2 linked regions of the Arabidopsis thaliana genome follow. The protein of the gene in region 1 interacts with the protein of each later gene in a biochemical or structural test. Each region holds a gene or a part of one and is shown on either strand. Other genes may lie near its edges.

Region 1 (3,753 bases):
TTAGCAAGGTGAAATCTGCGTTTTCACTTCTTGATGATCCATATTTCACAAATGGGGATCTGTACCAATTAGACTGGTTTTGTTTAACTAATGCAGAGAAAGAAGAATACTATAGTTTTAATTAGCCAAAACTACAAACCCATTTGCACAACAGTAGTAATACTTCTTGAAGCTAAGAATTTCACCAAACCTAACATAATCTCAAACTAAAAGTAATTTACAGCTTGCAATCTAGTTTTTCTTTTTGCCACAGGAGTATCAGAATGAAGGAACAATCCCATATCCTGTGTTGTACATTAGCATCGTGTTGAACCCTTGCTCCTCGGCTTCGATTTCTCTCTTTGCGAACCGGCCATTGACCCGCGGTCTTATCTCTGCATATGCCTTCCTCGAAGCATACCTTATTGTCTTCTCAAATTTCCTTGTCTTCCTCTTCTCTCTGTATCTCAGGACCCTGGCTTCTCTGTCCATTGGACTGAGTTGTGTTACTGTTATCATCTGGCTTGCAGGGTCAGGTTGTTGCTCTACTGTCCCTTTGGGCGTTCTTGGGTGTGAAGCTGTTGTGACACATGCTGTTGACTCCGGCACAACACCAGTTTCCATGGATGAAATGTATGCCTAATGACAGAAACAAAGACATTCTCAATCCCCCTGGTAAGAGGACTAAAGAGAGTCGATGCAAAAGGAAGCATATATTGTTTTTATTATAGACTTCTGGTGAAATTTCTATGTGCTATAGATCAACTGTTGGCAGTGGATCAGTGGATTTGTGTGTATGATGAAAGAATTCACCCTGCTGCGTTATGGGAAGATGCTAAATTGAAGGGGTAACAAATATACAAAAGCCTTACGTTATGGTTAATGGAACCATTGTCGTTGTAGTGAGTCCCTGAGGAGCCATATTTGATATTGAACTGAAAATTCTGTTGGTTATGGCACTGGTGGCCCCTTGATTCTTCAAGTTTAAGCGGAACAACTCTATCTCCCCCGTAGCTCGTCTGTGGTACGCTGCAGTTTTGTTGGTGTTGACTGTATTCACCTGTGAATTTGTAGTCCATACTCGAGTTGTAATCCACAAGGTTTAGATACTCATCACTAAACAATAACCCATTGTTTTGGTTATTGTTATTTTTGTCTGAATTAGGGAACAGCCACGAAGCAACCTCCTTGGCATCCTTATCACCTTCTTCACCTTCCTCTTGATCCACCACCAGTCTCTTCTCTGGATCGGTCATTGTTTTCTCGCTTTGGTGGTGAGTAGTGGTCATGGAGCTGAAAGAGTTTCCAGAAATTGGTAGAATTGGAACTCGCTGATGGCGTCTAGCAAGTGGGTTTGCAGAATGAACCTCTGAATCACAGGCTGTGCATAGAGAGGCATCATCTGCCTCACACAAAAAAGCAGCCGGAGCACGCTCACATGACTCGCAGACCCGGACACGTTTATGGCGGGAAGCAACGCGATTGGCAGAGTGAACTTGAGCATCACAGCTCATGCACAAGTAGGCAGAATCTGCATGGCAATACACGGTGCAGGCGTTTGACCGGCATGTGTCACAGGGTCGTGCCCTGTTGTTCTCTCCACTACCTATGTCGTTACTCTCTTGTTTCAACATAATAACTCAGATGTAGTAAGTTTGATGGTGTGGGAGCTGGTATCTGAAAGAAGGGGCTAATAAAGCTTATATCTGGTGTGAGAGAATAAGTAGAGGGGAGATCGAATCCTGAGTGCCTACACGTGGCACAGCGTTAGTGGCTCTTACATGTTATTGGATCCTCTTGCAGCTAGTTGAGCTTTTGGGAAGGCCTATGTGTAAAGTGTAAAGTGTAAAGTGTAAAGTGTAAACATCTCCTCCTATGCACTTCTTCGTTGGGACCCGTTCACAAGTTGCTTAGGTTTTGCCACTTGCCATACTGAGATTCTCAAGAGGAAGTGGTCCGGATAATGCCATGGTGTTGCAGGCAAATTGTTACTATTTTTTCGTATCACCTTTTACTATTTTCATATGCATTTTATTTAAAGTAAAGCTAGATTCGTTTTATCTCTTTGGCTTTATACAAAGTTTAAGTGGTTGAATATTCATCCTGAACCTTGTGATTACTGTTCAGGTATCTCTCCGAGTAAGGCTTCGAGTGTCAGAGCCATCACCAACTGTTATGGGTTGACTACCTATACAAAGGTTAGACAAACTCGTGAATATGGTATAGTTGTTGTTCCATTATTTGTGAATGCATCTGCATCATTTAGAAAGATTTGCAATTGAAACTTTCGAAGGATTTTCTGATGAAAAGTGTTATAATGTTTAATCTGGTTCATAAAGTCATGGTAATGAGAATCATATCGGAAAAGTGACATGAAAAACATAGAGACGGTGGATTTTCTAGGATCAAACTCGAATCCGCCAAGTAGTCTTGAGACTACAAATTAGAATTTACCTGACGCACAAGTTAAAACTTAAAAGGCATTTTGGAGTCCACATGAGCAATAATTAGATTTATCATATATAGTATGTAGAAATTTGCACTTGGTAACCATTATAGTAAGTAGTTACAAAACATGACTCATGAGTGTTGTCACATCTCTGTAATTTGGGTTTATGATGATACTCTATACTATTTATTGTAGCTTTATTAGATCTCAACCTGTGGAAGTAATCTAATACAAACGACACTTGTATGGAATTTTCAGGACATGTTTCTAAGATCACAGAGGTAATTGTGAAGTTTTCTGCTACACTCATTTACTAGTCCACATGATCCATAGATGCAATTTAACCATCTTCACTCTATTTGGTGACCCATTCATGTGTTTAGCATCGTGGGTTTTCCTGTACTAATAACCATTAGTACTTGGAGTTGCCTTGTTGGTGTTATGCTCATAATGTTTACTATGTGGAAGCTACAGGATACGATACTCTCTAGGTTTGAGGACTAGCTCCAGTTACGCTTTTGGGTCCAGTGAATGTATGATACCCATTATGTGGTCCAAAAAGAATGAGATTTGACGGACGCTCTAGTGGCCAAATTCATATGGCTACCTTCACTCTATGCCTTAAGAGCTGAAAAGTGAGTGTTTTTTTTTTGTATAAAATGCTGGTCCTAGGATACACTTTTCGCATCTCTTCCTCTTTCATATTTGCTTACACCGCACTTCTCTTTCCCATTTTGAACTTTAAACTTTGAAAAGTTTTTTTTTGCTTGGTAATTGGAACTTAACATACAAGTTCTTGTTATTTACTGGTTTTACGATGAATGTAATGGCATTTAGAATTGTTATGAAATGGTTATATGATCATTGAATTCTAAAGAAAAGATTCTAGGTTCTTTAGTAAGCATTTTTGGAGATCTTTATCCTGCCAAGTTGGATAAGTTGAGGCATCTTTGGCTTTTAGTGCTTTGGTGATGAAATTTTTTGGAGATTGTAACGTGGTTCGAGTTCATGAAGAGTAAATTGTGTATTGGCCTTTTCACTTGTAGCTCAAGAAAAAAGTAGTTTTGCTTATTATTGCTCGTTGACAGTCTCTAATTAAGTTTATTGTTGTAGCGGTTTGGAACTTCTCTCACATGTGTAGGCCTTCGGATAACTGTTACGAGTAATAGATCATATGTAACAATATCCTCAAAGTTGCATCGAGATTTTCAAGAAAACACTATTGCTTATTTGTTTTCATTCTTTATCAGGTTTCCGTGGTTTCGAATACTTTGCTTCTTTCAGATTAACGAAAACCCTATTTAGTTGCAAAGACTGAGAAGAGA
Region 2 (3,753 bases), on another chromosome or scaffold:
ACAGCAAGAATCCAGATGTTTACTACCCATCGGTGCAGACAATGTTCCTAATGGGAAGTGTGCAAAACGGATCGATAATTGACCCGAAGCAGATGCCTTACATTGCTAAGTTCCAGGCATCAAAGATTGAAGGGTGTAAGACTGAGTTCATGGGAATAGATAAATGCACTGATCCTAAGTTCTGGTGGAATCGCAAACAGCTAAGCTCTAAAGAGAAGACACTGTACCTAAACGCAAGGAAGACGTACCTGGATTATGACTATTGTTCTGACAGACAGCGATATCCAAAGGTGCCTCAAGAATGTGGAAGTTACACTTAGAGAAAGATCAATACCTGTCACAGGGTTAAGCCTACAAAACAATTATCTTGAAAAAATAACTTATGTTACTGTAAGATGCTTTATGATAAGCCTTTTCTATCAAATAACAACATTATTGTCATCAATGCTAGATACATTACTATGTCACGAGTTCATATACAGATACCTATTTACACAGAACCAAGTTGGTTCAGATCGGGTTTGCTTGAGGTTTACAAGCACTGAAACCTCTGAAAAGAACCTTACAGGTTACAAGACTGCATTTTCTCAGACATCAAGATAAGTCAAATATGAGAAAAAATCGGAAAGAAGCATACAATAGAAACTGCACATTAGATTATATATAGTTAGGCTAAGTCGCAGCAATGATGGTTTTGCTACAATAACATATACGTTAACAGAGAGAAACAAGAGTTTTTTTTACTCTTCTTTAACGAAGCCTTTTCATTGAATTTAGGCATAATCTATCAAACACATCCAAAATTCAAGGCGAGGTCGACTAATATCTGCTATCTTCAAGCAGGTCAAGCATCATCTGGAATACTCTGAGCTTAACTGCAAAAATGATACCAAAACATTGAAAGGTAAGTTTAAGGAGCCATAGTTCATTGATTCATTCAGATTCAGCAGAAGAGCAAGAGAATCTAGTTGTTTGATATAGCAATGTTTGCAAATTGCGATATGAAAACAATTTTCAAATCTTGATGATTACAGGATTAGAGATTGTTTATCATTCCAAATCCTAAAACCTTAATAAACAGAGAAATCTTGGACTAACATGATTATATCCCAAACAAACCAGACTTAGAGATTGTTTATCATTCCATCTCCTAAAACCCTAGACGATCATGTAATCAATCAATGTATATCACATTGCACAGAAAATGAAACTTTACCCTTGGCCGTCGAGATTCCCTTGACCGGAACTTCCACCACTACCATAAGAGACATCATCTCCCGTCCCCGTCGAAGTCTGCCAAACACTCTGCCACGCCTGAGACGGAGGCTGGACATAAACACCATTCGGATCCATAGCTGGTCTCCCAATCATCATCCCTCCAGGACCAGCTGGTTGTCCCATCGGCGGATAATAGTAAGGCACGCCGCTCGCGGTAGGAGCCACCACCATTCCACCACCGAGGACTGCGGCTTCGTCCTTAATCTCATCTCTAGGAACAATATCAACAAGGAAATCGAAGATATCAGTCCTAGTAATCGCAGCAGCGATATCGTTTTTCTGAAGCGTACGACGTTTATTCTCCTCAGCGTGAAGCCAAGATCTGATCGTGAGCTCGAGAATGAAAAGCTCACAAGCTTTCGCGAAGAGAATCGGTGCTTCTGCGGAGATCATACGAACATCTTCATCGGCTTTCATGATCTTTTTTATCCTAGCTAGTGGAAGCTGATGGTTTTTGAAATCGTTAACTTGTTCGATCTCTTGGCGTTGGTAGGTCCAGAATAGTTGGAGCTGTTGTTGTTGTTGTTGGAGAAGGTGGTGGTAAGAAGCTCCTCCTCCTGCGGCGGAGATGGTGGTTCCAGGTGGTGGAGGAGGGATTCCGGCGGCGGAGGGAGGTGGTTGCTGGTTGTTGGTATCCATTGGTCGGTTTTGGATTTTGATTTTTGGATCAAAAAGGTCGTGACAAGTTTTTGCCAAAGGGATTGGGGTACAAGTGGATAAGGTGGACAGCGATGTAGCTGATGATTTTCTCTCTTTTTTTTCTATTTCCTAAATTAATTTTTTTCTATTTTCTATTTCAAGTTAAATTTTGTTTTTTTTTTACACGTACCAAAGTTCATATGCATCCGAAATGAACCAAAAGAAAACATCAAGAGTGAAGAGAGCTGTCAGGAAAATGTTGCATCAAGAGTGAAGAGAGCTCTTTATTTCCGACTTTGTCTTTGCCATCGAGTATCGTCTTCAAGGTATCATCGCATCGTATCCGCCATTTACTACACTTCGTAATCTACAAATGAAACAAGTGAGCTCTAAACAAATCATAATCTCTAAACATGAAAATGCAATCTATGACCACCAAACAGAGAAGCAAGCACAAGGTCCAAAGCCACCTAAAGACACTCTATATTCGTAACTGGTGAATTCTTCATCTGACAGTGTATGAATTGACAAGCTAAGTTTTCAAAATATGCAATCAGAAAAGACCATTTCCACAAACAAAACCAAAACATTCAAGTGAGTAAACAACATTTTCAGCGTAGATGTCAATTACTCCAATAATGACCAACACAAGAATCAAATCACTACCATTCTCCAGTCTCTAGAGACTCCAATCCCTAAATGCATAAACATGTAAAGAGGAGATCATAAGGAAAGTAAAAAAGCTAACCCAAGGAAACTCGAGCAGAGTAACACCCTCATCTACGAGCTTGTGATCAAAGGCATAATCTAGCAATTTTCTCAAGGCGGCGTCAAAAGAGATTTCGCTTTGGCCGACGAATCTAGCCAGCGGCTCTGAGACTTTCACAATATCATTGAACCCCCATTTTTCTATAGTACCTCCACCGGTAGCCTTCACCTTCGCCGACATAGTTCTAACGTTAGGAAAATGTCGCAACAAAAGCTCCGTCATCTCTCTGACTCCGACGACTTTGTCTTGGCCATCGAAAATCGTCTTCAAGTTATCATCGCACAGTATCTCCTCTATATTCTCCGGATTCTACAAATCAAAGACCTATAAATCAGATACATTGCTCCAACAGAAAGAATCAGATCAAAAGACCTAGAAATCACCAAAAAAAAAAGTAGAATGAAAGGAAACTGGAGAAGAGTTTCGAAATCCCTAACCCAAAGATTGTGATCATCGGTATACTGCTCCACTTTCTCCATGGCGGTGGAAAAAGAGACTTCGCTTTGGCCGACGAATCTAGCCAGCGACTCTGAGACTGGAAAAATCTTATGAATTCCTCCTCTTCTATCAACGCCGGCGCCGGTAGCCGTCGCATTAGTCACCGCCTTCGCCATCAGTGTCCTGCATCCTCCTAGAATCTTAGAAATTGGCGACATTGTTGTTTCTCCTTCACTCCACTGCCCCTAACAATAAACAATTGAAGAAAAGTCTCCAACTAAAGAAATTGATGCAACTCATTTTGGGCCTTGTTGAATATTTATATATGGGCCTAATTGGGCTTCAGTTATATTGGGAGTTTATGAAGATCTTTCGATTGCTCAACATATCACTAACATTAACAATGAATTTTGTCTATTTCTTTGTTCCTCAATTCTAGTTTCCATACATAAAATCACACATTTTCAGATCAAAACATAGGAAGACGAATGCAAACAAGATTTTTAATCAGTTGTGTGGCCGTGTAGTGAGCGAAGATCGCATATCGACAATAGCAGATTTATCGGCACCAAGCTTCATTGCCTCTTTACTAGCTCTAATGAACCGAGAAGTAGCTCCTTTGACATACT

The links.
Region 2: the proteins of CO (region 1) and NF-YC1 form a complex in vitro, tested with the Arabidopsis thaliana proteins (one study listed by BioGRID).

Annotation. Positions count from the first base shown.
Region 1 is NC_003076.8:5,171,085-5,174,837, forward strand, and holds the start of CO (B-box type zinc finger protein with CCT domain-containing protein), read right to left. Parts: upstream 2,002-3,753; 5' UTR 1,614-2,001; coding exon 852-1,613; coding exon of another isoform or gene 711-851; exon of another isoform or gene 619-710; coding exon 259-618; coding exon of another isoform or gene 254-258; 3' UTR 1-253. Other genes in the region: AT5G15843 (uncharacterized protein), read left to right, coding at 254-612, 711-827, 1,145-1,298. UniProt on the Arabidopsis thaliana protein: Transcription factor that acts in the long day flowering pathway and may mediate between the circadian clock and the control of flowering.
Region 2 is NC_003074.8:18,008,022-18,011,774, forward strand, and holds NF-YC1 (nuclear factor Y, subunit C1), read right to left. Parts: upstream 1,998-3,753; 5' UTR 1,918-1,997; coding exon 1,217-1,917; intron 876-1,216; coding exon 872-875; 3' UTR 572-871; downstream 1-571. Other genes in the region: XTH11 (xyloglucan endotransglucosylase/hydrolase 11), read left to right, coding at 1-320; AT3G48600 (SWIB complex BAF60b domain-containing protein), read right to left, coding at 2,147-2,284, 2,666-2,995, 3,124-3,342; NPC6 (non-specific phospholipase C6), read right to left, coding at 3,632-3,753. UniProt on the Arabidopsis thaliana protein: Stimulates the transcription of various genes by recognizing and binding to a CCAAT motif in promoters.